Danio rerio: one gene and its partners. The protein of the gene in region 3 binds, or shares a complex with, the protein of the main gene of each other region. Links are inferred from orthologs where the notes say so. Each region holds a gene or a part of one and is shown on either strand. Other genes may lie near its edges. The genes, in order: tmem107l, cc2d2a, ahi1, mks1 and tmem216.

What was found.
Region 1: ahi1 (region 3) and tmem107l share a complex: the UniProt entries of both Homo sapiens proteins name them as parts of the tectonic-like complex. The link is inferred for Danio rerio from reciprocal best matches to the Homo sapiens genes AHI1 and TMEM107.
Region 2: ahi1 (region 3) and cc2d2a share a complex: the UniProt entries of both Homo sapiens proteins name them as parts of the tectonic-like complex. The link is inferred for Danio rerio from reciprocal best matches to the Homo sapiens genes AHI1 and CC2D2A.
Region 4: ahi1 (region 3) and mks1 share a complex: the UniProt entries of both Homo sapiens proteins name them as parts of the tectonic-like complex. The link is inferred for Danio rerio from reciprocal best matches to the Homo sapiens genes AHI1 and MKS1.
Region 5: ahi1 (region 3) and tmem216 share a complex: the UniProt entries of both Homo sapiens proteins name them as parts of the tectonic-like complex. The link is inferred for Danio rerio from reciprocal best matches to the Homo sapiens genes AHI1 and TMEM216.

The regions. Positions count from the first base shown.
Region 1 is NC_133198.1:31,417,770-31,424,759, reverse strand, and holds tmem107l (transmembrane protein 107 like), read left to right. Parts: upstream 1-2,716; 5' UTR 2,717-2,873; intron 2,874-2,996; 5' UTR 2,997-3,002; coding exon 3,003-3,089; intron 3,090-3,181; coding exon 3,182-3,249; intron 3,250-3,872; coding exon 3,873-3,973; intron 3,974-6,127; coding exon 6,128-6,224; intron 6,225-6,337; coding exon 6,338-6,407; 3' UTR 6,408-6,513; downstream 6,514-6,990. UniProt on the Homo sapiens protein: Plays a role in cilia formation and embryonic patterning. Requires for normal Sonic hedgehog (Shh) signaling in the neural tube and acts in combination with GLI2 and GLI3 to pattern ventral and intermediate neuronal cell types.
Region 2 is NC_133198.1:2,299,854-2,306,125, forward strand, and holds part of cc2d2a (coiled-coil and C2 domain-containing protein 2A), read left to right. Parts: intron 1-2,238; exon of another isoform or gene 2,239-2,321; coding exon 2,322-2,378; intron 2,379-3,893; coding exon 3,894-3,974; intron 3,975-4,548; coding exon 4,549-4,702; intron 4,703-6,272. UniProt on the Homo sapiens protein: Component of the tectonic-like complex, a complex localized at the transition zone of primary cilia and acting as a barrier that prevents diffusion of transmembrane proteins between the cilia and plasma membranes.
Region 3 is NC_133192.1:9,392,901-9,399,172, reverse strand, and holds part of ahi1 (jouberin), read left to right. Parts: intron 1-2,902; coding exon 2,903-3,026; intron 3,027-3,116; coding exon 3,117-3,346; intron 3,347-3,431; coding exon 3,432-3,538; intron 3,539-6,061; coding exon 6,062-6,180; intron 6,181-6,272. UniProt on the Homo sapiens protein: Involved in vesicle trafficking and required for ciliogenesis, formation of primary non-motile cilium, and recruitment of RAB8A to the basal body of primary cilium.
Region 4 is NC_133180.1:61,427,428-61,433,699, reverse strand, and holds part of mks1 (tectonic-like complex member MKS1), read left to right. Parts: intron 1-755; coding exon 756-826; intron 827-896; coding exon 897-966; intron 967-1,065; coding exon 1,066-1,173; intron 1,174-3,099; coding exon 3,100-3,233; intron 3,234-3,327; coding exon 3,328-3,410; intron 3,411-3,491; coding exon 3,492-3,589; intron 3,590-6,272. UniProt on the Homo sapiens protein: Component of the tectonic-like complex, a complex localized at the transition zone of primary cilia and acting as a barrier that prevents diffusion of transmembrane proteins between the cilia and plasma membranes.
Region 5 is NC_133189.1:29,306,781-29,311,948, forward strand, and holds the end of tmem216 (transmembrane protein 216), read right to left. Parts: intron 1,587-5,168; coding exon 1,385-1,586; intron 827-1,384; coding exon 811-826; 3' UTR 627-810; downstream 1-626. UniProt on the Homo sapiens protein: Part of the tectonic-like complex which is required for tissue-specific ciliogenesis and may regulate ciliary membrane composition.

The DNA of each region.
Region 1 (6,990 bases), on a different chromosome or scaffold from region 3:
TCAGTTGGCTTCTTCTGCTCCAATAGTAACATGCTGTAGACACGCAGGCCAACCCTACAGTAATATCCTCTCAGAAAAAGCACAATCATACAAAATATGACCCGTATTTGGTGTAATAAAGTGTATTTACGTATAATAAATAATTCACAGCTCTAGTTGTGACCCCAAAACAGAGTCAACGAAGAAAAATAGGTGCAACAAGCATTATACAAGTGATTACATTTGAGATGTTTGTACTGCATATTTAATAGTATATCTAGCATATTTAATAGTAATAGTATAATAGTAAAAGTAAATCTTACATTAATAATCTCTATGAGACTGCTCAATAAAAATAAAAACATGAAAAACAAGTCTGATCAAGAGATAATAGTTCAAAACATTAATTTAGGTCAGATGCCCAAAGTAGGGCCCAAGGAGCCAAAGTTGTAACCATTGATTTAGCCCACTATCCCATCTGAGAAGAGAGTGAGAATGATATAGAGGGAAGGGGCGAACACCTTTGAAAGAGACCATCATTTCTAGTTTGACATTTTCTTTAATTGTTTGTTTTATTGCTGAGATACAAAAAGAATACTGAAAGGAAATGTTTCAATTAATTATTTTAAATGAGTCTGATTTTTTTTATGTAAATACTGTCACTCGATAGATAGAGGACTACGCAGAAGACAGCGGTCAGCAAACCAAGGCAAAAACTAGTGTAAATCAAGTTGGGTTTTTGGCCCTTGGTAAGAAAACATTTGGGCACCCCTGCTTTAGGTAGCCTATATAAGAACACCTAAAGTACAGAAATATAATTTATTTATTATTATATATACATACAGTTGAAGTCATAATTATTAGCCCCCCTTTTTTTTCTTTTTTTTTAAATATTTCCCAAATGATGTTTAACAGAGCAAGGAAATTGGAGAAAGTCTTATTTGTTTTATTTTGGCTAGAATAAAAGCAGTTTTTAATTTTTTAAAACCCAATTTTGGGACAAAATTATTAGCCCCTTTAAGCTAATTTTTTTTTCGATAGTTTACAGAACAAACCATCATTATACAATGACTTGCCTAATTACCTTACCCTGCCTATTTCACTTTATTAACCTAGTTAAGCCTTTAAATGTTACTTTAAACTGTACAGAAGTGTCTTGAAAAATATCAAGTAAAATATTATTTATTCTCATCATGACAAAGATAATATAAATCAGTTATTAGAAATAGGTTTCTAAAACTATTGTATAGAAATGTGCTAAAACTATTTATATATATATATATATATATATATATATATATATATATATATATATATATATATATATATATATATATATATATATATATATATATATATATATATATATATAAATATATATATATATATTAAACAATTCTTTTCTTCATGGTTTTGTATCTAAGGTGTGCCAACCTTGTTTGTTGGGTTTCAGATTTATTAAAAATATATCACACCCTGCAAATAAAATGGCAAATGTTGTCACCACAATGTAAAAAAAAAAGTCTTCCTAAAACTGTCTATTCTCAATTTCTTAACTCTAAGGTTAATATTTTACTGCCTTCCAGAACAGCAAATGCCCTTGATAGCAAACCACTGAGTTAGTATTTATTTATTATTTACTAGACCAACGACGTCTGGCTGTAGGCTACAGTAAAAACTAATGATTCATTTATTTGTTGATTTGTGAATGCTGAAAACCTGCAACCATTGACATCCATATAGGAAAAACAAATGCTATGGAAGTTACAGGTTTCCAACTTTCTTTAAAGTATTGCCTTTATCGCTTAACAGAAGAAAGAAACTCACAAAGATTTACAACCACTTGAATAAACAGCAAACACGTTTTTATATTTGGGTGAGCTATCCTTTTAACTTATAGGGCTCTTATTACACACGTTTTATGCACTTACTATAATACCAATAAATTATGCATAATCACATGCAAAAACCCATAACCATAGTAAGTACTCCATATCGTTAATTAATGCCACTCAGTACTTTATGCTATAGATACACTGTAAAAATGAGACCGTAAAACAAAAAACAACTTAGTTTGTTTAAATGCATTTCATTTCGAGATTAGCACTGTCGCTTCACAGCAAGAAGGTTGCTGGTTCGAGTCCCGGCTGACATTTCTGCAGATGCTTTTTTCCCTGTGTTTGCTTGGGTTTCCTCCGGGTACTCCGGTTTCCCCCACAGTCCAAGGACATGTGCTATAGGTGAATTGAATAAACTAAATTGGCCATAGTATATGAGTTTGAATGAGTGTGTATGGATTTTCCCAGTGCTGGGTTGCAGCTGGAAGGGCATCCGCTGTGTAAAACATATGCTGGATAAGTTGGCAGTTCATTCCGCTGTGTCGACCACTGATAAATAAAGAGACTAAGCTGAAGGAAAATGAATGACTGAATAAAAGGCTTGTTTAAGACACCTCGAACACCTTGATAGTGCTCCCTATTGACCACAATAATGAAGTCTTTGAAATAAATTTTTTCCAATTGTCTTACTACTTGTCTGCGCTGCCATGTTCCAGTTCACCATTTTCAAGTTATTTCACCTTTAGTACCTGCTCTCAGCCGAAGGAAAATGAATGAATGAACATTTTGAGACATTGTAAAACCAAGTTGAGGACCAGTCAGAAAGCGACTCCTTCCAGCAGGTGACAGCATTGAGCTACTTGTTGGTCTGTTTTGACCATAACCCATTCGCCAAATAGAAGAAGAGTGTTGTCGTAGCAACCCGAAGCTTATATCGAGCGATAACTGTCCTCAAGCTTGATAAACTTATACGCATAGTAGCCTTATATACAGTGCTATATCTACTTTACTGCTCACCATTTGAAAAATCAGGTTTTAACAACTAACGCAAAGCTGGTACGTATACCATTTTGATATACAACCTCACGTTTTGTGAAGATGAACACGTTAAACCTTTAACTGTTAGTCATCCACTTGCACAGTTCAATCTAAGTTATTATGTCTTTCTTCTCTGTCTAGTGTTCAATGTCGGTGGTCAGCAGTCTGGTGCCTGCCCGTTTCCTCACTCTCATCGCGCACCTTGTAATAGTGATAATCATTTTCTGGTCTCGGGTAAGAAGTGTTCTTGTGTGTGTAATTGTTATTTTTATATCACACAACATCACTGCAGCCAGCTGTGTGTTTAAATGTGGAATGACCTACAGGAGTACAGTGTCCGAGCCTGTCTACCACTCGACTACACTAATGAAGAGTACACAGCAGAGGACACACGGTTGGGAAACACACTTTCTCTGTTCTGTATTGCTTCACAGTGGCTAAATGATAATATAATTATTTCGGTCATGTAGTGAGACTGAATAGTATTTTTTGATTCAACTTTATTGTCATTATACATGTACAAGGCAACAAAATGCAGTTGGGGTATACCTAGGAATGCGATAGCATCAAGTGCATGATATATGCACAGTGCTCAGCAAATGAGTACACCCCTTTGAAACAAAACAGATTTATTAAACAGATATATTTATTCAAATAATATTTTAGTCATCAAACATATTTAGAAATTGAAAGATATTACAATTACATTCAAGCAAAATAATCCAAAAAAGAAAAGAAATTACAACCTGCAAGATTTCAACTAAAATAGTCTTTTTTTTTTTCATTCCGCAATACAGAATGTATTTTAATTGTTAATTAAATGTACCTTTTAATTTATGAAACAAAATACTTTAAAATCTTTTGATGGCTTTTCTTGTTTGACCCATTTACAGCATATTATTGTTTGACTGATAGTAAATTGTACATTATTTATATGTAGATGTGAATAATGTTATGGAGTCAGATATAGTAAGTCCTGTTCATGACGCTGTCCTAACCATTGTTTTTGGAATACAGGCTTGTGGTGGCATTATCCGTGACTCTTGGCCTGTTAGCCATCGAGTTGGTTGGGTTTCTCTGTGGAATCTCTATGTTCAACAACAACCAAGCTCTTCTGTGTATCCTTACCAGTAGCACATCACCACTATAGGTTATATATATACTGTAGGTGTTGATGCATATAAATTGTGTATTATTTTCTTATATTTTCATGGATCGGAGTCAAATCTTCAACTTATGATTAACGCAAACAGCTCCCATATGTGTGTCTAGTACTAGTTTCTTACACATCTCATCCAAAGTCTTCTGTTTTGTTCAGATTTTTGACAGTAAATTACCTGAAGTCATGGGTCGTAAAAAATTATATGGAGCTGTAATGTGGTCAAGACCTACCTGGTATATAAAGTCAATCTAGGGCCATATATACAGTTGAAGTCAGAATTATTAGCCCTTTTGAATTATTACCCCCCTGTTTATTTTTTCCCCAATTTCTTTTAACGGAAAGTAGATTTTTTTCAACACATTTCTGAACATAATAGTTTTAATAACTTATTTCTAATAACTGATTTATTTTAGCTTTGCCATAATGACAGTAAATAATATTTGACTAGATATTTTTTAAGACACTTCTATACAGCTTAAAGTGACATTTAAAGGCTTAACTAGGTTAACTGGTTTAACTAGGCAGGATAGGGTAATTAGGCAAGTTATTGTATAACCATGGTTTGTTCTGTAGACTATCGAAACAATATATAGCTTAAAGAGCAATAATTTTGACCTTAAAATGGTGTTTAAAAAAAAAAATGCTTTTATCCTAACCGAAATAAAACAAATAAGACTTTCTCCAGAAGAAAAAACCCTTTTGGAAAAATAATAATTCAAAGGGGGGCTAATAATTCGGACTTCAACTGTACGTGCAAAATAAAATAAAACTTTGCAAACAACAAATAAAGTATTGAGCAAAAAATAAATAAATGTAAATGAAAAAAATAAAAAATACATTTTGCTAACAAAAATAAAGAACTGCAAAGGGGAAAATTGAGAAATAAAAATGAAATTTAAACAAAAAAGGAACTGCAAATAAACATCAAGCAGTAAAAAAACAAAACAAAAAGATTTGCAATAATCAAAAAAAAACTATATATATTTGCAAAACATTTTTATAGCATTGCTTTTACAAAACCTGCCCGGTCAGTTGCAATTGTCATTTTAATTAGATTTTAGTCAACTGTGAGTTTGTGATGCTGTTTTCACTTTGTACTTCACGTTTCTGCGCCTTTCACTTTGTGGCCCTGATTTGACAAGGGGACTGAGTCAAGGGAACTTAGAGGTTTACCTAAGGCCTGCCGTAAACGCCCAAGTTCCCTTGACTCCACCCCTTTGTCAAATCAAAATGAGCATTGCAGTTGACTGGATGGGTTAGGTCAAGGCTAAAAATGTTTTGCAAATATTTATATATTTTTTTTTTCAGTTCTTTTTTTGTTTGCAAATGTAATTTTTATTTTTCAAAAATAAATTTTCCTTTGAATTTTTAAATTTTTGTTAGCAAAAACTATTTTTATTTCTGAAAAACAAGTTTTTGCTTGGGCGAGGCAGTGGCGCAGTAGGTAGTGCTGTCGCCTCACAGCAAGAAGGTCGCTGGGTCGCTGGTTCGAACCTCGGCTCAGTTGGTGTTTCTGTGTGGAGTTTGCATGTTTTCCCTGCCTTCGCGTGGGTGCTCCGGTTTCCCCCACAGTCCAAAGGCATGTGGTACATGTGAATTGGGTAGACTAAATTGTCCGTAGTGAGTGAGTGTGTGAATGTGTGTGTGGATGTTTCACAAAGATGGGTTGTGGCTGGAAGTTGGCGGTTCATTCTGCTATGGCAACCCTGGATTAAAAAGGGACTAAGCCGACAAGAAAAAGAATGAATAATTAAAGCTTTTGCTTTGCGATTTTTAGAGATTTGCATTTATTTTTTGCTCAATACTTTCAATTTTGTTTTAAAAATGTTCTTTTATTTTGCAAGTATATGGCCCTAGATTGACTCCACAACTTTAGCCATATGGTTTCCTTGAAAAAACAAAAGTTTAACAATTAACATAGCCTCGTATTATAAAACCTAACAAAGATATCTTTACTATTGCTTTCCAAAACTAAAAGCAGTACAAATCAATACAATTAGACAGACATGATAGACAATCCCAGTGGTAGAATGGCAGCAAAAGTCTGGTTTGTTAACAATAAAGGCATCATGATACAGGCACAGAATTTTATTTAACCGTCACTTTTCAGCTATTGGATGTCACAGCAGTGGCTCTGTGGCTTTGCTTTTCTTCATGTTTGAGCAATGGACCTGCAGCATTTACTGGTGGATCTTTTCCTTCTGCAGGTCAGTCGTTTAATGATTAACAGTCAAAGCATAACTTTAACTGTGAATGCCCTTTTCAATGAATTCGCTTTAACTTTGGTGTATTTGAAACATGTTTTCTTTCTCTATTTCAGTGTGATTCCAGCATTATATGAGATGGTCATTGTTGTTGTGGTGTTTGGATGTAAGAGAAAGCCTTTGTGAGTGTATCTGCCCTTTTGCTTTAGGAGAGTTGGATGTTTTCTTTCCATGACCGATGTACCAGAATAGCATTCACTCACTGGCACAATAAACTCCTGTTTTTCCACAACGCTTCTCTGGAGAGTTGCTGAATTGTTATGGGTGAGGGCTTAAAAGGATAGTTCAACCAAAAATAAAAATTCTGCCGTCATTTACTCACCCTTGTCTTGCTATAAACTCGTTTTAGTTCTTTGAACACAAAAGAAAATATTTTAAAGAAGATTGGAAACCTGTAATCATTGTCAACCATAGTTGGATAAACAAATATTATTGAATTTCATGGTTACAGGTTCATACAGGTTTCGAACAAGTTAGGATGTGTAATTGATGGCAGAATTGTTATTTTTTGGGTGAACTATCTCTTTACAAGTCAAGCTATTGAACTTTTATAAATACAGATATTTTTATAATGTTGAAAATATGTTAAACCTCTTGTGATGATTAAAGGCATTTTGTATTTTACAGTTTTTCTCCATTGGTTTGGCTTAATTCTGGACACAGAAATTCTCAACACTCTAAGGTCAGATTTGGCAAAACATAGTTCAGC
Region 2 (6,272 bases), on a different chromosome or scaffold from region 3:
CAATTGGTACTAATGGGCCCAAAGTGTGCCAAGAAAATCTCCTCCACACCATTACACCACCACTACCAGCCTGAACTGTTGATACAAGGCAGGATGGATCCATGCTTTCATGTTGTTGATGCCAAATTCTGACCGGACCATCCAAAATAGAGGTAAAGATGGTTTTATATTCAGACATTCTCCTTAATAATATAATTTCAAAAAAGTATTCTTTGCAAATTCTGAATAGGGAAATCATATTGGCAGCCAATGACTTTCAAAGTACAACATTGTTCACAGTGAATTAGATAGTGTTAATGTTGTTTAGAAGTATACTTGCATGCTACTTCCGATTGAATATTCAAAGAAACATGGTAAACAATATAGAGACTGTTTAATTAATGAATGTGAGAATATAAAACCAACTTTATCTCTATGCATCCAAATGTGTCAGCAGAAATGGAGACTCATCAGAGCAGGCAACGTTTCTCCAATCTTCTATTGTCCAGTTTGGTGAGTCTGTGTGAATTGTAGCCTCAGTTTCCTGTTCTTAGCTGACAGGAGCGGCACCCGGTGTGGTCTTCTGCTGCTGTAGCCCATCCGCCTCAAGGTTGGACATTTTGTGTGTTCAGAGATGCTCTTCTGCAGAGCTCGGTTGTAATGAGTGCTTATTTGAGTTACTGCTGCCTTTCTATCAGCTGGAACCAGTCTGGCCATTCTCCTCTGACCTCTGGCATCAACAAGGCATTTGCGCCCACAGAACTGCCGCTCACTGGATATTTCCTCTTTGTCGGACCGTTTTCTGTAAACCCTAGAGATGGTTGTGCGTGAAAATCCCAGTATATGAGCAGTTTCTGAAATACTCAGATCAGACCATCTGGCACCAAAACCATGCCTCGTTCAGTCACTTTAATCCCCTTTCTTCCTCATTCTGATGCTCACTTTGAACTGCAGCAGATCGTCTTGACCATGTCTACGTGCCTAAATGCATTGAGTTGCTGCCTTGTGATTGGCTAATTAGAAATTTGCATTAACGAGCAGTTGGACAGGTGTACCTAATAAAGTGTCCGGTGAGTCTATAATGCACAGTTATTGACAATAACGTTTAGGTGTCAAGTTGTAAAGTTGAAGTAAACACTTTTAAACTATAATAAACCAGACAAATGGGTTGAACCTAACTTAGTGGTTCTAAAGGATAGTGGCAAAGTATAGTTAAAGGTTTAAGTTTGGGGTCGAACTGTATTCTTATATAGTTATTTAATATGCCATAAAGTGAGTCATTTTCTGAACATGCCTGACAAGATTTCATGCAGTGTAAATTGTTGTTACTCTCAATGACTAGTGCTGTCTTCTGTATGTCATAGTTAAAATGTACTAATGTCATTGTTTCAGTAGAAAAAGTAAATAAAAAAAACTATTTTGAAGGTACAGTTAACACAAAAAAATGACATTTTCTCTTCCTTTACTTGTTTGAAACCTGTATAAGTTTCTTCTGTTGATATACTGAAGAATCAACAGCCATTAACCTCTATTGTATATGTTTTATTTCTACTATGGATGTCATTGGCTGCTATTCCCCCATCATTCTTTTGAATATCTTCTTTTGTGTACAACAGAAGAAAGAAACTCATAAAAGTTTGTAATGTCTTGACTGTGTGTAAAGGAAGAGGAAATGTTCATTTTCGGGTGAACTGTTCCTTTAAATGGACATAGTGTAATCTTTAAAACGTGCATTTCCCCTCTTGTAAAGGTCCCATGAAGTGCTTTAATAATTGTATTTGATTTTTGACGTAATCTCAACTTAAACATGAAAATAGAACGGGACATAGAGTAGCTCCTCCCCTTTAAAAAACAGCCAATAGCGTTTTCTTTTTGTCACAGCTCTGCTAGTGTGAGTGGTTGAGCTCAAGCGCATTAAACGAACACAAAATGAGAAGCGTCTTGAAGGGGGCGGGGCATGTCAGATACTAGAGAGCATTTGATTGGTCAGAAGATTTAATGAATAACTGAAGTTTGAGTTAACATACAAAAACATAGTTGATCTATATGGGCAAAAGTGACTGCAAGCTTGGGATGTTTATATCAGTGTTATATTTAAATGCAAATTTTATCATCGTTTTGGAGCACACTATCTAATAAACATTCTTAAAAAAAAAAAGGCTGAAACTAACATCTAAAAATGTTATTTTAATTTCATGGGGCCTTTAACTTTGATCCATGTGTGTATTTCAAAGCTGCTCAACATGTTTGTTGTATTAGCCGTTAGCTTTACACGAGTGCTTGGGTTAAAGCACTGAGCACCTGCATGAACTGCTGTATGTACGTCTGCTGATCTGCTGTAGGCTTTGGTTCCGTCAGACTGGGACGTGTCTAAGGAGAATGAACACACTGCGGTGGAGGTTGGTTCTCTGCTCACCCTTTCTACTTCCTGCAGTGCACTAACACATTCATGCTAGCCTTTGCTTTGGTGTGGATTCTGTCCTGATTTTCAGCGAATGAGCCTTTCATGTAGCTAGTAGCCTTAGTGGCTGCGTCCAAAATACCCTATTACTCGAGTAGGTACTACATTTAAATTTGAATTCACGTAACAACCACTAGAATAGTATGAACTATGTAGTATGAATGTAATTTGAATGTACTGCATCTCGGCTGGCGTCATGGGACAGCGTAGTATCCTTTGCATGTGCACTACAGAGGCTGCATCAGAAATTGCATACCTCCCTAGTACTATATTGTATGTAAAAGTGTACATGAGCCAAGTAGTATGTCCGAATTCATTGTATTGGAAAAACAGTACGTGAAAAATCCCTGGGTAAGCTAGTTCTTTTGGAGAGCTTCTGAAGTGCACATCCAATGGATACTAAGCTATCCCATGATGGCACCTCACACAGGTAAGAGGGCTTGACAAACCAGTTGTAGAAAACATGCTGTTTGACACTTTGACACTCGCTTTTGCACATTTACACCAGACACATTCCTACAATCACAATCCACAATCCATATCTCTAAACAAAAAACAAAGCAGAACAAACACTAGTTATGGTGTGATTCACACAGGTGAGTGGGCTAGACAGACCACCTGCATCTTCTCACTCTCCTCCTTAGCACTTACTCTCTGAGCACTAACAGTTCATATGTATAATCAGCACTTGTTGTGTGTATTGCCTCTTCTTGTTGAATCACTGAATGCCTCCTCAATTCTAAGTCACTTTGGACAAAAGCATCTGCTAAATGCAAATGTATTGTGAGATCTTAAGAAGACCTAAAACAAACTTGTGTTTATATATCTTAAAATGATTTTGTTTAAATATTTTGCAGATGTATTTTGATAGACTAATTAACCAATTATGACCCGCTTTTTCAATTATTTTCACTTGGACTTTTTCTTTTGTTCTCCTAAAATAACATTATCTAATTTTTATGCATTTAACTTTTAAGAAAAACTGTGCATAAACACAAAGGAAACAGCTAAATTAAAACTTAAAGGAATAGTTCACTTTAAAATGAACATTTCCTCACAATATACTCTATAAGCCTGTTTGAGATTCTTTACTGAAGAATTCTGGGAAAAAAGGCAGCCCATAGTAGGAATTAAAAAAAAAACTATGAAAGTAGACGTCTCCTTTTTGTGTTCAACAGAATGAAGAAACTCAAACAGGTTTGGAAGAAGTAAAGGGTGAGTTAATGATGACAGAATTTTTATTTTAGGGTGAACTATCCTTTTAATTTTACTGAATTGCATTACTATCAGATTATACGAGCTTATTCTTTATGACGTTTTCACTACAAACCTACAAAAATGTCACAGAGTATAGATATATAAAAATATATACATAAATATACATAAAAATAACATTTAAGGAGGTTTTTGTATGTATATTTATACCGTAAGGTTCTTCACTATGATATTTTAGGACATGGCTGGTGGAAAAGAGGACCCTGGTGAGACACTCAGACACTCATTGATGGCCAGGAGAATGAAGAAAAAGAAGAAGGTTTGCACTATGCTCACTTTATCAACTGACAGTATATGATTGCCAATATAACATGATTTCATTAATATTATTATTATTATTATTATTATAAATAATTAATTTTTATTGTTGATATATTAATTAATGGGTAGGAAAAGTTAATACGTATTAATAATGTAGTCAATACGAGCTGATTGGTTGTAGTAAAGTAGGCATTTCATGATGGGGAAGAGTTATTACAGAGTTATGGGGAGTTTGGGGAGAGTTATTACAACCTAACAGACTCCTCCTGCTCACCATTTCTGTTTGTTGTCTAAACTGACAGCTAGAGGGGCGTGTTTAAGTGTGTTAGCCCCGCCCACCGCCTCAGACAGACCTAATCTAAGAATTTAACTGGCAATAAACAAGAAGAGCATTTGCAGATTTCTATTAAAGATTACAAGTTTATTCTTACTGACATGCACAGATTAATTGTCACCACGAAACTAGAAATGGAAGCTAACAAAATCAAAATGTTTAGTTTTGATTTCATGTGTACTTTAAAATGTTAATAAAAACATCAGACCACTCAGAGATTGATCTTAAATCACTCCAGGCTTCCTATCAGTTTGATTGTTCTCTATTTCTCCAGCTGCTGAAGGAGAGTGCGGTGGAGTGTATTGCTGATGACGAGGAGCTGACAGCAGTGCCGGACACCAGAGGAGCAGACGGACAACACGCTAGAACTCCAACAGAGCTATCGCCAAGAGGTCAGACAATAGAACCACAACAGAACCAATAGAACCACAACAGATTGCAGACTTCACTATCAGGGTGTCTTAACCCTAGTCAACCAGAGTAGACCGCTGTTAAGTCCAGCTCCAGAATGGCCAATGTGAAGTTGTGAAGCAAACTATTGGCAAGTAAAAACAAAAATACGGGCACTGCATTCAAAAACTGTGTTTAGTGAAAGCGAAACAGTAAACAACTTTAACAAAGAATGTTTATTTTTTCCTATTTAATCGATTTTTTTTAAAGGGCACATATTTTACCCCTTTTACAAGATATAAGATAAGCCTTTGCTGTCTCTAGAATGTGTCTGTAAAGTTTCAGCTCAAAACACCCATCAGATTATTTATTATATCCTCCAGAATCTGCCCGTTTTGGTGTCTGAATACCTTGTAGCTGTAAAACAAAGAGAAAGCTAAAGAAAGTTTTGGCACTTTCAACTGTTCACTTCATCAATGCATTTGGCTGAGGGTGACAGTGGGGCTATAGCAGGGCCGGAGTGGGACTCATTTTCAGCCCTGGAGTTTCAAGCCAAACCGGCCCACCTCAGTTCACGACTGGTTCCAATTCAGTTTCTAATTTCACTATCACGTCTTTTTCAAGAAAACTGCTGCTTTAAAAATTCAAATGTTCAACAACCCTAACAGTATAATATGTCTTTACAATAAAAATGAAGAAAAAAAAATAATTTTACAGGTGAGACTCGAACACGGGTCCGCAGCGTTGAAACGCAACGTGCTTTCCTGGACCACAATGGCGCTATAACTGTGGCAATAAAAAATAAGTAATGACTTGTGACCCTTAAGACACAGCAGTACTTTCTTTTGATAGCTCAATCTTTTTTTCCCCTTTTTAGATTTCTGATCAAGTTATGTCAGAATTATAAATGTAGTGAATCATCTGATTTTCATTGGGCAGGTGTATTATTCATTAATAATAATTATTAGAATTCTTATATTTACTAAGGTGCCGCGGTTTGGGGTCGATAGTTACATTACATCATCATCATTAACGTTAGTTAACCTGCAGGCTGCATTTTGCTCACAGGGCTGCGAGAAAATAAATTAAAAAAGCAGCGCTGCAGCAAAATAATGAATAAAAAGAGTAAAGCTATGGTCAAATAAACAAATAGATGAAAAAAGTCTGACTGCTGAGAGTGCAAGCAGCTAGGGACACCGGCCCTCACGGCCAAAAAACAGACCGGCCCACCGGGAATTCTCTCGGTCCTCCCGATTAGCCAATCCGGGCCTGGGCTATAGTTATTAGGCAGTAAGGCTATGTAGATCTGAGTGTCATCAGCAAAAATATACATTGATAAATTAGAAGAACACTCCAAAAAATGAACTCCTGTTCAACCTTTGCATGCTCCCTCTGAGCCAAATAATGAGAAAGAACCAAATCTCCTACCACAGCTATGCTGATGACACTCAGATCTACCTAGCCTTACTGCCTAATGACTACAGCCCCATTGACACCTTCTGCCAATGCATTGATGAAATTAACAATTGAATGTGCCAAAACTTTCTTCAGTTAAACAAAGAGAAAACTGAA
Region 3 (6,272 bases):
TAAAAACACTATTAAGACACCTATATTTCACTAAAAAGTGTAAATTGGTTGTTTTTGCGTTATTTCAAGCAAATTCGTACTTCCTGTTTGAAACGAATTTTTGAAGCTGCGTCACGGTCATGACATAATAGCGTGTATTCCAGCGTGCAGACTGGGCGTCTGTGCCAGAGTGAGTCTTATTACGTCTTACAGTGTGATGCATTAATGCATGAGTAAGGCTTGGTTCAAACCAATCAGCGCGCTCTATTGTGCAACTTCATTAATATTCATTACTGTCACAGTGTAGACGGCAAAGACGCCACGTTGTGTTGGCAAAACAAGCGTGAAGTGTTGCTTTTATAGTTTGCTGCAGTTAAGTTTCGTTTTCATTTTCTCTCTGTGAGAGCGCAGACTCACATGTGGATTAACAGTGTACGCGACGCGCGACAACAACTTACGTGTCTAAGGAGGATTATTATTTACCTGAGAGCTGTTCTCATCTGCAAACGCTGAGATTGTAGTCTTCTCTAAATAAAGACGCGGCTCTAGTTGCTGGTGATTGTCCTGTCTCTACAGATTTGGTAAGTGAGCGACCAGTGCTCTTTGTTTATTCAGTTCGTATTTTATTCGTATCAAACAAACTATTGCACCGAGTGCAATAGTTAGCACTAACAGTTACAACCAAACTATAACCTCGTGTTGGATTTTGTGACCGGAATAACACACACGGCTTTCTGACACTACCTGCCGAGTGCATCTAAGTTTCCGGGAAATGCTGAGTTTTTTTTTCTCTCATTCGCCGTGCAGTATCAAACATTGCATGAAAAATACACGCTTAGAGCTGTTCCTCGAATCAAATATCTCGTTTGTCGGGAGGGACATTAATGAATTCCCTGAATGAAAGAGCCAAACTGCAGTTAAAGTCCACCATTTAATAATTTGGCAAATAATTCGACTACAGATGTCCATGTAAACACAGTCACATTGTCTGCTGTGGGTGTGTGTTTTGACTCTGAAATTCAGCGTGCCCAAATAGACACTCCCACACCAAGCCGCTTTTCTTCCTCCGACACTCCCCCCTAAACAGAGCTGGACACGCCCACTTTTCTGACTTTTTCCAAAGTAGAGGTGTGAAAACACACTGCTGAAACGAGGGGGTTTCATGGCCCTTTAAAGAAAACCCCTGCATATCGTAGTATACTGTTTAATGGAGACCAGCTGGCGAGTGCAGCCTGAATGCATCCCTCTTCTAGCTTCCTCCTTAGAGCATTCGCCTACCATGCAGGAACCGCTGGTTTGATCCCCGCTTGGAATAAGACTAGTTGAAATATGAGAAGTGTAAATGCTTTTGAATACCTGGGATTTTACTACAGTCATCGGTGGTGTAATGTAAAATACCTTATGTGTAAAAAACTACAGTAATTGAGTAATTTGTTTATATTACTGTTATTGTATTACTACATGAATGAGTTGGTCAGTTGTGAACATTTGACATTATTACAAAACAGTGCTTTCCTACACTTTAACCAGCAGAGGTCCTCATCCAGCTCTGATTTAGAAAGCTTCGTGTAACAAACCTTTTTCCGATACATTTGAGTCGAGCGCTTCACTGGTTCAGAAAGCTTCATTTCTCCATCATTAGTTTCAGACCAGCCCATCTGGCACCAACAACCATGCCACGTTCAAAGTCACTTAAATCACCTTTCCTCCCCATTCTAATGCTCAGTTTGAACTGCAGCCGATCAGCTTGATCATGTCTACATGCCTAAATGCATTGAGTTGCTACTATGTGATTGGCTGATTAGAAATTTGCGTTAACGAGCAGTTGGACCGGTGTCAACTAATCATTACAGTTAACAATTGCTCTGAACATACCATATTTACAATAGTTGCACTTCAATTGGCACACTATGGACTTATACACTCAACCATGTAGTGTAGAAATGGGTTTAGTGTCGTTCTAAATAGACACTAATGTTTTTACTAGACAGAAATACAAACCATTTCCCAGACAACGTTTAACAGCTGCCAAATAGTGAAACAAATGATCAAACTACCAAATAGTACCAGTCATGAGTATAACAGCATTCACCATTGGGAATGTAATCACTTACATAGGAGAATTTTGCTTGCACAATCCAAAATAAATAATGAAATCCAACCTTAGTGCCTAATAGCTCCTCCCCTTCTGCAATGTGACCGTTGAGTGCTTGAAGTATTCAACATTTCACACTTCTGTTTAACGGTTGAATAAGTCTTTTATCCAGGTATTTAAAGTGCACTTATTCTTTTAGTGCACTATTTATACCGGTGGTTTTCAACTGGTTTGGCCATGGGACCCACATTTTTACATGGTCATCAAATCTCGACCCAAAATTTTAGGAACTAAAATATAATTTTGGGAATTATAATTAATTTGTATTTATTTGTTAACATATACAAGTAGTGACAGATAAATGATAAGAAAATCCCCAAGATTAACAAATAAACACTATTTTATTATTGTAATTTAACAATATAAAAAATTTAAATTACAGAAAATATTACACAGTAAAAACGACAAATGTTTGGTTTCTAAAAGTGCTCTTGTGAGAGCTCCTCACTACACATGGCACACTGAGCCTTTTTTGTCGTCCATATATGTAAATCCATACTTGACATGTTCGGGGTCGTACTTGCGCTTCGATATATTTGTTGCTATAATTAAATGAAATTTCACATGTCAAACGGTACGGTTGTTCCCACAACAATTGTTTTTTTTTACCACACACTCTGCGACCCACTAAAAATGTTCCCGCGACTTTTGGGTGTGACCCACCAGTTGAGAAACACTGATTTATACTACAAAATAGCTTAGAATTGTGCATAAGTATGCAATTTGTAATGCACCTAATGTTTTTGTTGTGTTGGTCTGTACTTTTAGTATATGAGATTCCATCTGGGAAAGTTCTGTCATCTTTTAATGGCCATCTGAGTGTGGTTTATGATCTCTGCTGGTCCAGAGATGATAAAGGCCTGTTAACTGCATCCTCTGATGGAACAGTGAGGTAAAAACATTTGACAGTTTTAAAAGATCATAATACCACCTCATTATAATATGTACCTCATAATTACATATCAATGTTTTTCCCTTTCAGAGTGTGGAATGTTGAACGTCTGCAGACTCTTGCGCATAAAACTCTTCCGCACCCTTCATTCGTGTACTGTGCCAAGTTCCACCCTCAAGCCCAGAGTCTGGTGGCGACGGGGGGTTACGATGGCGTGCTGCGAGTCTGGAACGTAGATGTACAAGATGTGAATGGTCAACTTTTGCAAGAGTTTGACGGACACAAGACTTTCATCAACACTCTGTGTTTTGACCCTGAAGGTACAGAGGAAATTGGTGGTTTAATAACTGAATGGATGTTAAAGCTGTGATATGAGACTATAGTGATGTGTTGGTCTTTACACAGGGAGCAGAATGTTTTCTGCTGATAATTCCGGACTCATCATTGTGTGGGGAACGAAAGTTATGCCTGGGTCTCGCCGTGGAGCAACCAGTCAGTGGAGCATTGAGAGGGTAACAGTTTTCAATTAATGCATGGAAGTTAAATATTCATTTAAAAGATGAACATTTCCTGACTATTTACTCTCACTCAACTGGTTCAAATGTAAACGTTTATGAGTTTCTATCTTCTGTTGAACACAAAACTAAATATTTTAAAGAATGTTGGAAACCATTGACATTCATACACTGCAAAAATGCTTTTCTTACTTAGATTTTTTGTCTTATTTCTGGTCCAAATATCTAAAAACTCTTTAATCAAGCATATTTTTCTAGACAAGTAAAACATACTGTCCTATTTTAAGATATAATATGCCAAAATTTAAATAATCTGCCAATAAAGTAAGCAAAATAATCTTATGTCAAAAGGAAAAACTAGATTATTTTGCTTGTTTTAAGGAAAAACTCATTTAATATTGGCATATTATTTCTGAAAACAAGACAATATGTTTTGCTTGCCTTGAAAATTCTTCTTGATATAAGAACTTTTAGATATTTGGACTAGAAATAAGACAAAAAATCTAAGAAAAGCATTTTTTGCAGTGTAGTAGAAACAAAAATACTAGAGGTTGATGGCTGTTTTTCTCTCTCATCATAACAGTGTTTAACAGACAGAAGAAACTCAAAGTAGAGATCTGCGCGGGACTAAATTTTGAATCCCGCTCCCGCCCGCATCCGCCAGGTTTTAGCCCGAACCCGACCGCTCCCGCTCCCGCTCCCGCTTATATTAAGCACTTGTTGTCTCGCTGCCCGCCCCGCCCCGTTTTCTATCCGCTGCGCCCGATGCCGCTAAAGAGCGGGGGGAAAACAAAACCGAAAATCACCCAGTTATACAGTCCAGACAGCCTATAACAAGCTGTCTGTATAAACACACACACGCACAGCACCAAGCACACACACAGAAACAAAGCTTTCTCTCTCTCATTCGCGCGCGCGCCCACTAACACACACACATAAGCACCAAGCACACACGCACGCACGCACGCACGCACGCACGCACGCACGCACGCACGCACGCACACACACACACCTCTCATTCGCGCGTGTGCATACATATACACACACACACACACACACACACACACACACACACACACACACACACAGCAACAAACAAGCTAAACACAGCATCGCGCTATTTCATTTACACACATACATACGCGTGCTCACTCGGGAGTCGGGAGCGAATATTGCTAGACAGCCCGCTCCAGTCCCAAATTAAACCCATTACCGACCGCTCCCGTGATATATTCTGAAATTTATACCCGCGCCGTAGAAATCTGGTCGGGTCCTGCGGCGCCCGCAGGACAGCCGCGGGAATGCAGAGCTCTAACTCAAAGCTCAGGTGGAGGATTAGTAAATGATGTCTTATGTGAACTGTCCCTTTAAAAAAAATCAACTGAGGGTTGAAATACACTATATTAATATATTTTAAAACGCTGCGCACCAAGCAATTTTGTGTTCAATAGACGTCTAATAGACATCTAGCTTGGATGTTTTGGCTAAAACAAGGCTAAATTTGGGCTGTCAGTGAAAATAAATAATAAATGTTCAAGAATAGGCCAAAATGAGATCAAATAGACTTATTATACTCACTTGGTGTGTGTAATTATTTATTGAAGTGTATTTGATGACTAGTCTAGTTTTGGCTATTATACTAGATTTTTACTCGCACAGAGCCCAAATATAGCCTTGTTTTAGCAAAGACGCTTTTATTTAGACATCTATTAGACATCTTTTAAACACAAAAGTAGTAATCATTGTTAAAAACCCCACAAGGAAACATTTCTCCACAAATATTTTTCCTTTTTAATCTCCCATTATTTTTTTTGGTTATCTGTTGGAATGGAGAGATCATTTCATGTTTAATTCTCATGATAAACATCTGTTTTTCAATTTAGTTTATCCGGCAAAGAAATGCAGTTTGTTATTATGGGCATCAACCTTCTTGCATAATGTGGATGTCTTAAATATTTACACTACTTCTATTTAAGAAACCTACTAACGATTCAGATTAGAAGTCAAGTGACTTTTAGCAGATATGGACACATCTTTGGCACTGTGTTAATGACCTCCTTTGACTCCTCATTGACTACTGCCTGACATGACTAGATTCCCTGTATTCCCTTTTCTACTTTTTGTGTATCAAAGGCTTTATTTGTATGTTCATGAACATTGAATAAACTGACAAAAGTGCAATGAAAAAAAAAAAACACAAGGAATCACACATTTACTGACTTGGTAAAATGTAACTTTAAGATTACACACTCTCACACTTTTAAATTATCAAATTGACAATTATGGAGAAACCTGTCTTGTTGTTGTAAAATTTTAAATATCAAACAACTATCAAATATGTCTGACATTTAAAAAAAAATGCCTGTACCCATTATACACTGTGAAATCTATCAACTCCAACTGGCTAAAATCTGCATAGACATCTTCAATAAATCAGTTCAAAACTGTGATTTAAAAGTTGTGTATTGTATTCAGCCTAAAAGCAATGTCAATTTATTATCATCTATTTTTTATTTGCAGGAAATTAAAGAGGCAGATCTGAACGGAATATCTATTAACTCATTAGAGGTGCATCCAAATGGACGAAGACTCTTAATTCATGCCAAAGACAGCGTTTTGAGGGTCATGGATTTGAGAATGTACGTTTTGTTTTTGTTTTTAATTAACATGCAGAACTGAACATTATTTAGAAATTATTGAGATTAAAAGCAAGAATCTAAAAAAATCTAAT
Region 4 (6,272 bases), on a different chromosome or scaffold from region 3:
GGAATTTTCATTTTGATGATACTGACACTTAGATTGACATGAATACTTGCGTTTGAGGAATGAACTATCCATTTTGAGCATGTGACGCGCTTTTGCAGGTTATCAGCTAGGTTTTGCAGTTTGTACTAATTGTTTTGAAAAATGCATTAACTGTTGTGCAAAAATGCACTGGTGTTGTGAGAAACGCACCAAAGTGACTTTGAAAAACTGTAAAAGAGAAAAAAAATTTAAAAGGGGGCTAATAATTCTGACTTCAACTGTGTGTATTTATATATATATATATATATATATATATATATATATATATATATATATATATATATATATATATATATATATATATATATAATATATATAATATATATATAATGGTGCACTTTATACAGCATTGTCTATTTGGACAGCATAAACATGCTTTCCACTGGTACAAATTGCTACAGTTGCCATACATTATTTTCTGATGTTGAGACACAAAAGCACAATGGCTGAATTCTACACAGAGGGTCATTTTTTAAGTTACATGAAAGAATGAGAAATGGTTGAACCATAGCTGCCATAAGCTGTCAGATACGGCTGCGATATAAGTGAAATGTCATTGGCTCTAGTTCAAAATAAGGCATATTTTGATTGTTAAATGACCTGACATTAAGACATTTTTAAGTGTAGCTTAACTGGCCTAATGCTAGTTATTTTATTAGTGTTTGATACATTTTCTCTGACTTTTCATGGTGTTAATGTTGGTTCATGTTCTTCAGATTGGTCCAGTGTTTCCTCTCATTGTCTGTCTGGTGTGACTCAGACATGTCGCACACGCAGTATAGAAAAGGTGAGTTGTCATTTTAGTAAACTTCATCAGTGTGTTTGGAACTGTGGTAAGCATGTTTACTGTTTTATAGGAAGATGTCGCTTTCTTCTCCTATCCATTCAGCTTTGAGACCTTCTTCCATAAAGAGGATGAGTCTGATGGTGAGATGCCTCATAATGGCGATATCCAAAGATACTTTACATAAATTACATTTTAATCCTGAAGGTTAACATGTCAGTCCATTGTGATGTTGTGTGCAGGGTCATTACCACAGTGGCCAGTGCTGTATTTTAAAGTTCTCTCACTGGATTTCTGGCAGCGCTTTAGAACTGAGGGCTATGGCTATTTGGTCATCCCTTCAACATCAGGTAGGAGAGTGTTTTGTTTTGTTATGCTTTTTATCATTTTTTCCATATTGGCTCTGTAAACATTAGCCAGTATATTGGAGTTAAGTTCAAATTAATCTAGTAGGAGTCATAACCAAAGACAAAACAGGAACGATTGACATAATCAAAATTATTTTCACATAATTTACAGTGAATTTTATTCAGTACAGTTTTTTTCCTCAACACTAAGTTGGACAGATTTTTCTGAGAATTGTAATGTGCTATAACAATAATGTCCTAATTTGCAATTTGCATTTACAATTGTATGCAAAAGTTTGGGCACCCCTCTGTGGCTGCATAGTAATGTGCTCTTTCTTTATAAGAGAAGATCGGTTTCCATTTGGCTTCTAGAGAAAGCTACATGATGTCATGTTTTTCAGACAGAAATATGTAGTGTAGCAGTATTGAGACGCATGAAATTTAATTGAAACTGAAAAATAGACTATGCAAAAGTTAGGACACCCTCTCTTTTGTGCGAATTTTAAAACCTGAAGTCACTTAATGCTGATTGATTACAACACAAAATTGATTTGAGTGACAATCCTAATACAGATGCAGCCAATCATGAAAAAGGATATTTAAAATAGCTGATTGCTAGTTGTGCTTCTCCTTATTGGGAACTACAAAGAAGCAACATAGGAACCTCAAAAGAACTTCCTAATGACCTAAAAATTAAGACAATTCGACATGATTTAGGAGAAGTATGCAAAAAGCTATCAAAAAGTGTTAACGTCTCCACAGTCAGAAATATAGTAAGTAAATGGAAGGCCACAGGAACAGATCTTGTGAAGGAAAGATGGGGTAGGCCAAGAAAATTATCTCAAAGGCAAAGAATAGTTAGAACGGTCACAAACAAACCACAGATCACCTCCAAAGATTTCCAGGAATGTCTTACTGCTGCTAATGTCACTGTACATCGTTTCACGGTTCATCTCAGTCATTCACAGTCATATGAGGTATGCAAAGGCTCATCTAGACTGGCCTGAATCGTTTTGTATAAATATACAGTGGACAGATGCTACAATCATGGACGCTTGGCATGGTGGAAAAAAAAACACAGTATGCCAGGAGAAGAACCTGCTCCCTACGGTAAAATTGGTGGAGGGTCCATCATTCTGTGTGGATGTGTGGCAGGCACAGGTACTGGAAACCTTCTCGTTGAAGGTTGAAGTTGAAGGTGGCATGATTGCCACCCACTATCAGCAGATTTTTAAGAACAATGTTCAAGAATCAGTCAAGAAGCTAAAGTTACGGTAGGATTGGATGTTTCAGCAGGACAATAACCAGAAACACAGTTCCAGATCTACCAAGGAATTCATGCTCAGACGCGATGCAGTGTTCTATAATAGACTTCTCAGTTCCCAGACTTGAATATCATCGAAAATCTAGATTGATTTGAAAAAGGCTGTTCATGTTCGGCACCTATCAAACCTGGATGTTCTGGAGACATTTTACAAGGAAGAATGCCCCAAAATGCTTCCAGCAACACTTTAGGGACTTATCATTGGCTATAAGAAGCGTTTACAGGCTGTTTTTTCAGCCAAAGGTGGCTCTACAAAATATTAATTTCATTATTCTGTTGAAGTGCCCAAATTTTTTCATCTCTTTGTTTTTGTTATAATTTAAATTGCATTGCATTTGTTGATTAAATAAGTTTTATGTCAGATCTGAAATGTTGCTTTTATCCTAGAGTATAAAATCTATCCAAATTAAATGGCTAATGGGTTTTCCATGGAACTGTATCATTTATTCATTCAGTTTAATATTGTGGTTTATCAATTAATCATTACAAGGATGTGCTATTGTCACGTTTGGTTCCAGTTTTACAAATCTAAACTAAAGATCTAATTTGTAAAATAAAGAAAATGAATATCAGCTTGTTCAGTGGTGGCTTTATTGTGCTCTCAGGGCGTCATAGAATGACCTGCCGCACATGGAGAGCAGTCCAGCGTGGCACAGTGGCAGAACTGAGACGCTTCTTCATTGGTGGAGCTCCTGAACTCGAGGACATCAGTTACGTCAGAATACCTGGCACTTTTAAGGTCAATCATTATACATTTTCTGCTGTGAAATTTGTGTAATGGCATGTTTAGTAATTCAGTTAAACAATTGAATGTTCTAATCTACTGCCTTTAGGGAGAGAGATTGAGTCGCTTTGGCTTTCGCACTCAGACCACTGGAAGTGTGACCTTTACTCTTAATTGTATCCAGCATGCCAGGTCAGCCAACAGCATCAGCGAATCTTGCATGACTGTATTGTCTCTTTAAGATTGAATAAGAGCTTCTGGTACTATATTCAGGGCTTTTATTGATGCCAGCACACTGAAGAAGAGAAGACAGACTGTTCTGGATCAGTTGGGGGGCCACAGTCAGCAAGGCTCTGTCTATAATGTTTTGGGTAAGAAAGATCTAAATAACTTAAATTGGGGTCAATATTGCTTTCAAAGTTCCCACTAAATCAAAATTAACCATATGATTTTGTTAGCTCACATCTCTGCATGTCATTAAAAAAAAATTGCCCTTCTAATATTTGATTTGAAGTCTGTAAAAAAATTGTCAGATTACTTCTATTTTAGTAATTGAGTGTGGCTAACATATTTAACCCTGCTGCTCCAGTTGTCAGCTTTGACAACAAACAGAAATAGTAAGCAGGAGGAGTCTGTTGTAATAACTCTCCCCAAACCCTTTTCCCAATCTTTCTGAATAAAACACCTACTTTACTACATTCATTTAGCTCGCAGTAGAAAAAAAAGCCACACCCCTGTTACGTCATTTTTATATACTGTTTCTCTAGGGGTAACACTTTAGTATAACTATCCATTATAACTAGTTAACAGATCATTGTTAACTATTAGTTAATGGGTTATAAATGCCTTATTAAATAAAAGTTAATAGTTTGTTAATTGTTTATAACTGTGCCTTATAGATAGCCAATAGATATTTTACAAGCTGTTAGTTAACAAGTTATAAATGACTTGTTAAGTGTATTTTAATGATTTATAACTATACCTAATAAAATTGTATTAGATCATGAACAAGCTGTTAGTAAATCACTTACTAAAGACTTGTTAAGTATCAGTTAATAGTTTTTATTTGTTATTGGGTTGTTTTTCTTAAGTTGCAGCTCTTCTTCATTTATTAACTGTTAGTAAATGAGGAATAGTTGCAACTTTAGAATAACTTCCCAATAACATACCTAAGCTAATAACTAACACTTAACCAATATATTAACTCTCACTTTACAGATCAGTTGTTCATAATTTAACCATCTACAAATACCATTGACAGCAAATGGATGGAACAAGTTGAAGCTACAGAAATTTCATGTGATGTTTAAAATATAACATTTTTGTACCGTAACCTTGTTCCGCTCATAGGCTTTTCTGTGTGCTGTAATTTACCAAAGAAACTCCACAGATGAAATGTTGAACATTGTGTTTAATGTATAGAAACACACATACTGAGCCATCACATGGCATAACAACAGTATAGAACAGAATACAAACCCATAAGGTTTGGGCACTTTTTGTGCTAAACATGAAAACAAAATAAATAAATAAATATTTTATTAGAAAAGTTTGACAGAAGTTTCACTGTTGTTATTAGATGGTAAAGAATCTCAACAATTGATCTGAAGAGTGAGATTTATTATATTAGTTAAGTGTTAGTTATTAGCTTAAGTATGTTATTGGGACGTTATTCTAATGTTGCAACTATTCCTCATTTACTAACAGTTAATAAATAAAGAATAGCTGCAACTTTAGAATAATGTCTCAATAACATATACAAACTATTAACTGATACCTAACAAGTCTGTAGTAAGTGATTTACTAACAGCTTGTTCATGATCTATTACTATTTTATTAGGTATAGTTATAAATCATTAAAATACAGTTAACAAGTCATTTATAACTTTTTAGCTAACAGATTGTAAATTATCTATTGGCTATGTATAAGGCACAGTTATAAATAATTAACAAACTATTAACTTTTATTTAACGAGTCATTTATAACCCATTAACTAACAGTTTATTAATGGCCTATTAACTAGTTGTAATGGATAGTTATTATAAAGTGTTACCTGACTTTATATAAAATGAATTGTGTATCACCGCACTATTGCATCATGTTGCAAGTCTTGCATGTTTTTCATCCTATCTTGGCAACTGATGGTATCTTATAGGTTGTTGATTGACATACAAAAATTGTATGTTTGATTGCTAAAGAAAAAGAGTTTCACCTTAGACTAATTTCTTCAACGGGGCCACAGGGTGGCTTAAAGGTGCAGTAGGTGATCTACCTAAATGCTAACAGGTTAGTATTATATCTTCCAAACACAATCCCTCCCCTGCCATACAAAGCCACGCCTTCTGCAATTGTGAACTCGCACATTAAAGATGAAAGAGACCCACTAGATCATGTCATTCGCCAGTTAGAAAACTTTATAGTACTTTATAATACTACAATTCTGAATGAAAAACTGTATTATATCTAGCACATTTTCTGTTGTGTAGCAAGCAAATATTTCATATATGCAAGGATCGCTGGTCTTACTCACTCACACGCTTTGTCCTAAAGCGACTACTGTATGCTTAGTGGTTTGCCAGCGGCATTCAGGAATTACAATTATTACTAAACCATACGCACGCTATTTCAGACTGAATATTTAGAGTACAATGTTATTTCTATATAGGGGGCGCATGAATATAAAACCAACTTCACCTCAATAAAGCAGGATAGGTGGAATAGCTCTATTTACTAAAAAAATCTATATTATCGATGCTGTGTAATAATCACGTAAGCACTGAATATTTGACGCTAATTTACAACTAGTAGAGGAGTTAACTAGTGATGGTTAACCTGTAATACGGAAACACGTTGTGGATTAAAATTGGAAGTTGTTGGTACTCCCTGTCTGTCTTCTCATTTAAGTACTGCATGCCCATTGCAACAAATAAAACTAAACGCAGAACAAGACATGGTGTCAGAAGAAAAATTAAATTTTAAAATGGATTCAGCAGGAGTACCATCGCCGCACATGAACTGGGAATTGTCAAATTTACCCGACGCATGCAGGAAAT
Region 5 (5,168 bases), on a different chromosome or scaffold from region 3:
TAAAGAGGCGTCTGAGTGTGCTCATAATCCTGTGTCCAATTGTAATTAGGATTATGACATTTACCTGAGAGCAGTCGCAGCTAGAATACATAAGCGTTTGTTGACGCAATTAGAACATCTGGAAAATGAGCCATTTTAGGCCATATGGCGGCTATGTAATGCTTTAATTTTGTTGTAGCTTGTTATGTATATTCATGTAAGCTTTGCAAAGGTACAAAGCTAAGTCTCCAACAAAAGGGATTTCTTCTTCAAATAAATTCGGATGTATGCCAAGCTTGGGTCAAAGCTTTAAGATTCTGTGCATGGTATACTGTATCTTTTCCCAATATTCAGATTAATGGCTTTTTAAAACCAAAATAATGTCACTGTTTCCAAAAAATATATAATGAGTACAATTGTTGCTCAACAATGACAAAGAGATCTTCTTGAAAGTAATTATATAAACAGATGTTTTAAAATGTTAATAATATTAATTACTATTAATAATAAGTACTACAGTACTTCTGATTAACTAAAGTAGCCTTTGTTAATATGAGTCTCCTTTAAAAACATTCAATAATTGTATCCCAAATTTTTGATTGTGTGTGTGTGTGTTTGTGTGGTGTAACAAATGAATGACAAATCTGTTTCAATTTACTATTTAATAATGGCTATATTTCTATTTACATAAATACATTTACACTGTATACAATATCTACATAATAAAGGTACTTGTCAGCTTTATGTTTAATTGTAATTCTTGACAGTTCTCTATTCGAAAGGCTGCTGCTTATCCTTGTTATTGAGTGTTCATGTTTTCAGAAGATGGATTTAATAGATGTTGGCCCTGAAAGAAAAATCTGCATTTTAATATTGTTTATTTTACACAGCAAGTCGGTTACTGAATATCCACAAATATGTTCTATTAAGTTTCTAAATAAGTTTTCTCTCTCTCACACACACACACACACACACACACACACACACACACACACACACACACACACACACACAAACACACAAACACACACACATACACACACACACGCACGCACGCATGCACGCACGCACGCACGCACGCACGCAAATCCCAACTCTCCCAGGAAACTATATCCATTTAACATTTTCTAAATACTTAATTCCAAGTAATTTATGAGCCATTTTCCTCATGGGGCCCCCCCAAAAAATACTGGAATGTACTGGAATTGCTATATTACTTTGCTATATTTACTTTTGTATTTTTGATTAAATAAGCGCAGCCTTGGTGATCAGGATAAGCTTATTTTAAAACATTAAAAAAATACTGCCGACTCTCGGTATATTCATTCCATAGATATCATTATAATGTGTGTGTCTCCTAATGCTGAAACTATGGAATAAATATGCACAAAAAAACAACAGCTACCTGGAAAAAATTGAGATTGTCATCACTCCCAGAACCAGCTCGAAGCCATAAAAGCAGAGGAGCACAGCATTGAGGACAAACTCAAGGCGTAAAACGAAGGTCTGAAGCAGCAGGTAGTAAACACTCAACACTGCACATGGCACCAGAATAGCAACACTCACAAACAGAGCCAAAGAACGCTGACACAGGTTCCCCTTCCAGCCTGAAAGACAGATTTTACACACTATCACTACATTTGCAACATGGGGCAATGCACTTTCATCAATTACAACAGTACACAACAAAGAGGGCAGTTATCTCTATTATAATTCATTCATTCATTCATTTTCTTGCCGGCTTAGTCCAAGCGGAATGAACCGCCAACTTATCCAGAAAGTTTTTACACAGCGGATACCCTTCCAGCCGCAACCCATCTCTGGGAAATCTATTATAATTCTTTTTCTACAATCATGCACTTGTGAACACAGCAGGGTTAAACTCTATTAAGAGCTGAACAGAGAATGCGTATTAAAATCCAGTTCAGTCTAAGATTTAAAAATTGTATTTCAAGTGATATTAAACATTAGACAGGATATAAAATTGTAATTCAAATACAGAGTGTTATAAATGAGTGCTTAATTCTACACTGTAAAACCCAACAATCAACTTTATCAAATGAAATGAGTATAGCTAATTTAATTCTACTGACTTGAAAAGAGTTTTGATCTCAGTGTTGAAGGTAATGAGTTATTAAAATACCTTATTACTTCAACTTAAATGGAGTAGGTTCACAGTACTCATATAGATTACTAGTTTTTTTGTAATCGGTTTCCTCAAATGGTTTAAGTTGCCTTAACTTATTGGGTTTAACAGTAGTCAGTTGGTTTGAGTTCTCTTCATTTAATGGGTTTTACTGTGCTCAAATTGCTTCATTTACTAAAATGGATTATGTTCACAGTACTCATTAGGATTTTCTTTTAACTTAAATGGTTTGTTGCAATCGGTTTCCTCAAACAGTTTGAGTTACCTTAACTTTTTGGATTTAGAACTTATACGAACACATATACACACATATTTGGTTTGCTAATGGATTATTTGAACATAATGGATATTTATAATGAATTTAAAAAACTGCATGTGCTAAACAGAACTTTAAAAAATAAAGTTTGAAGCTGCTGTTTATGTATTAACAGGTTATTTGTGAAAACTTGTGTTTTTTGGGATTTTTTGATGAATAGACAAATAAGTAAAATAAATAAAAAAAAATGTATTTTTTGTAAAAATCTAATATTTTATATCACTTTAAACAATTCAGTGGATCCATGCTGATAATAATATTATTGCATCATAAAATAATTGCATTATTGTATCCCTGTCTTGTTAACAGTGACATTCAGTTGAAGTCAGAATTATTAAACCCCCTTTGAATTTTTTTTTTTTTATATATTTCCTAACTGATGTTTAACAGAGCAAAAAAAATTTCTTTTTTTAAAAAATTATTTTCAAAAAATATTCTTTCTTTTGGAGAAAGACTTATTTGTTTTATTTTGGCTAGAATAAAAACAGTTTTAAATTTTTTTTAATACAATTTTAGAGACAAAATTATTAGCCCCTTTAAGCTACATTTTTTTCCAATAGTCTACAGAACAAACCATCATTATACAATAATTTGCCTAATTACCCTATCCTCCCTAGTTAAACTAAAATGAACCTAGTTAAGCCTTTAAATGTCACTTTAAGCTGTATAGAAATGTATTGAAAAATATCCTAGTAAAATATTATTTACTGTCATCATGGCAAAGATTAAAATAAATCAGTTATTAGAGATGAGTTATTAAAACTATTAAGAAACGTGTTGAAAATTCTTCTCTCTATTAAAAAGAAATTGGGGAAAAATTAAACAGGGGGTCTAATAATTCAGGGGGGCTAATAATTCTGACTTCAACTGAATGTCTAATTAGGAAATAGTTAACAGTTAAAACAGTTAAAGTAGTTCTTTTGCAGCACAGTTTTTTTTAAGTTTATTTAAAATGGGAAGTTTCACTATATTGCTATTTTGTCATGTTTCAAAATAAAACTGTAAATGAAAGTGCCTGTGAAGGCGTACTGTAACAGCAGTGTCAAGAATATACATTTCTAATTCTTTCATTTATAATATTTTTCCTTATAGACACAGTAAGTCACAACAGACCATGATTATTTTGCAACAGATTTGAAGACTAATTCATCTGTTGTGGATTCCATTCTATTGCTTTAACCTGGAATAAAGTAAATTGCTTTTGTATTAAAACAGAAGCAATGGAGGTCAACAGTCATGTCCTGGAATTAAAAACCCCAATCATTTTATCCACAGGGAAATCAATTTTAAACAAAAGCTTATGAACCTTTGAAGACAGACCATTTATGAGCTCCGAGGTTGTTAATTGATTGTGTATGCTTCTGCTAAATCCATCTGTTCCCGTTAGCTCAACTTATTTATAAACAATTTTGTCTAATAGTGGAGAGTGATGCTGTACAGACAAATCTAACAATAAAATAGGTGAAATGGGCTAAACATGTCAGTGAAGTTAATTTAATTTTTAAAATACTAAATTTATATATTTATTTTTTTGCATATTTTAAAATGAAGTGAAACTATATTGTTTTTACAAATGATTTTTGAACATTTGATTTGAGTTATTTCTCTCAATAAAGCCATTACATGCACAGTATCAAAACATCTCTTTTATTTTGTTTATACTTATTTCCTTTGAATCAAAGTTGTAATATTATGTGTCGCCTGATAGCTGGTTGGATTGGGTTAAACCTTAGAGAACCAAACATAATGTTAAAAAAGCGTTTGCTATTTCTGCACAGAATTGGTAAAAATAGGTAAATATAATTCCATGGAATTATATTGAGATTATAGGTACCGAAAACTTTCATTAATTTATTTTCTTGTCGGCTTAGTTCCTTTATTAATCCGGGGTCGCCACAGCGGAATGAACCGCCAACTTATCCAGAAAGTTTTTACGCAGCGGATGCCCTTCCAGCCGCAACCCATCCCTGGGAAACACACAAACACTCATACACTACGGACAATTTAGCCTACTCAATTGACCTGTACCGCATGTCTTTGGACTGTGGGGGAAACCGGAGCACCCGGAGGAAACCCACGGGAAGGCAGGGAGAACATGCAAACTACACACAGAAACGCCAACTGAGCCGAGGCTCGAACCAGCGACCCAGCGACCTTCTTGCTGTGAGGCGGCAGCACTACCTACTGCGCCACTGCCTCGCCCTGTGTTGAAAACTTAACAAGTAAAGTTCAATATCTTAACTTTAAGATTTACAATGCGAATGCAATTAGAAGTACTCATTTTGTAAACAAAGCATGGCTGCAGCAATAAATCAACGTATTGTGGATTGATTCTTAGACTTTGAAATGGATCACTATTCAGTCTAGAATGGAATCTGATTTTTGAACAGCAGATGGCGCTTTAATCATACACTGAGCATGAAGATGAGCTATTGTGCTTCAGTCTTAATATAATATGGGATTAATATAAACACTGCTCACTATGAACACTAATTTATCTAAACATTTTCTTAAAATTATTAACTTTATTAATGATTCTTTTATGTTCAAATGGTTTGTGTAAGGATTGGAACAGTGTGGTTGTTTGGAAAGCATATAGAACCTTTTCGATAGAGAATCGATTTACAGGAGAATCGCAATGCATTCAGGAAATTTCTGAATCGATCCAAGAATCATTTCTTGATTCACAGTGCATTGATTTATTCTACTATCCCTAAAACTAAGCTG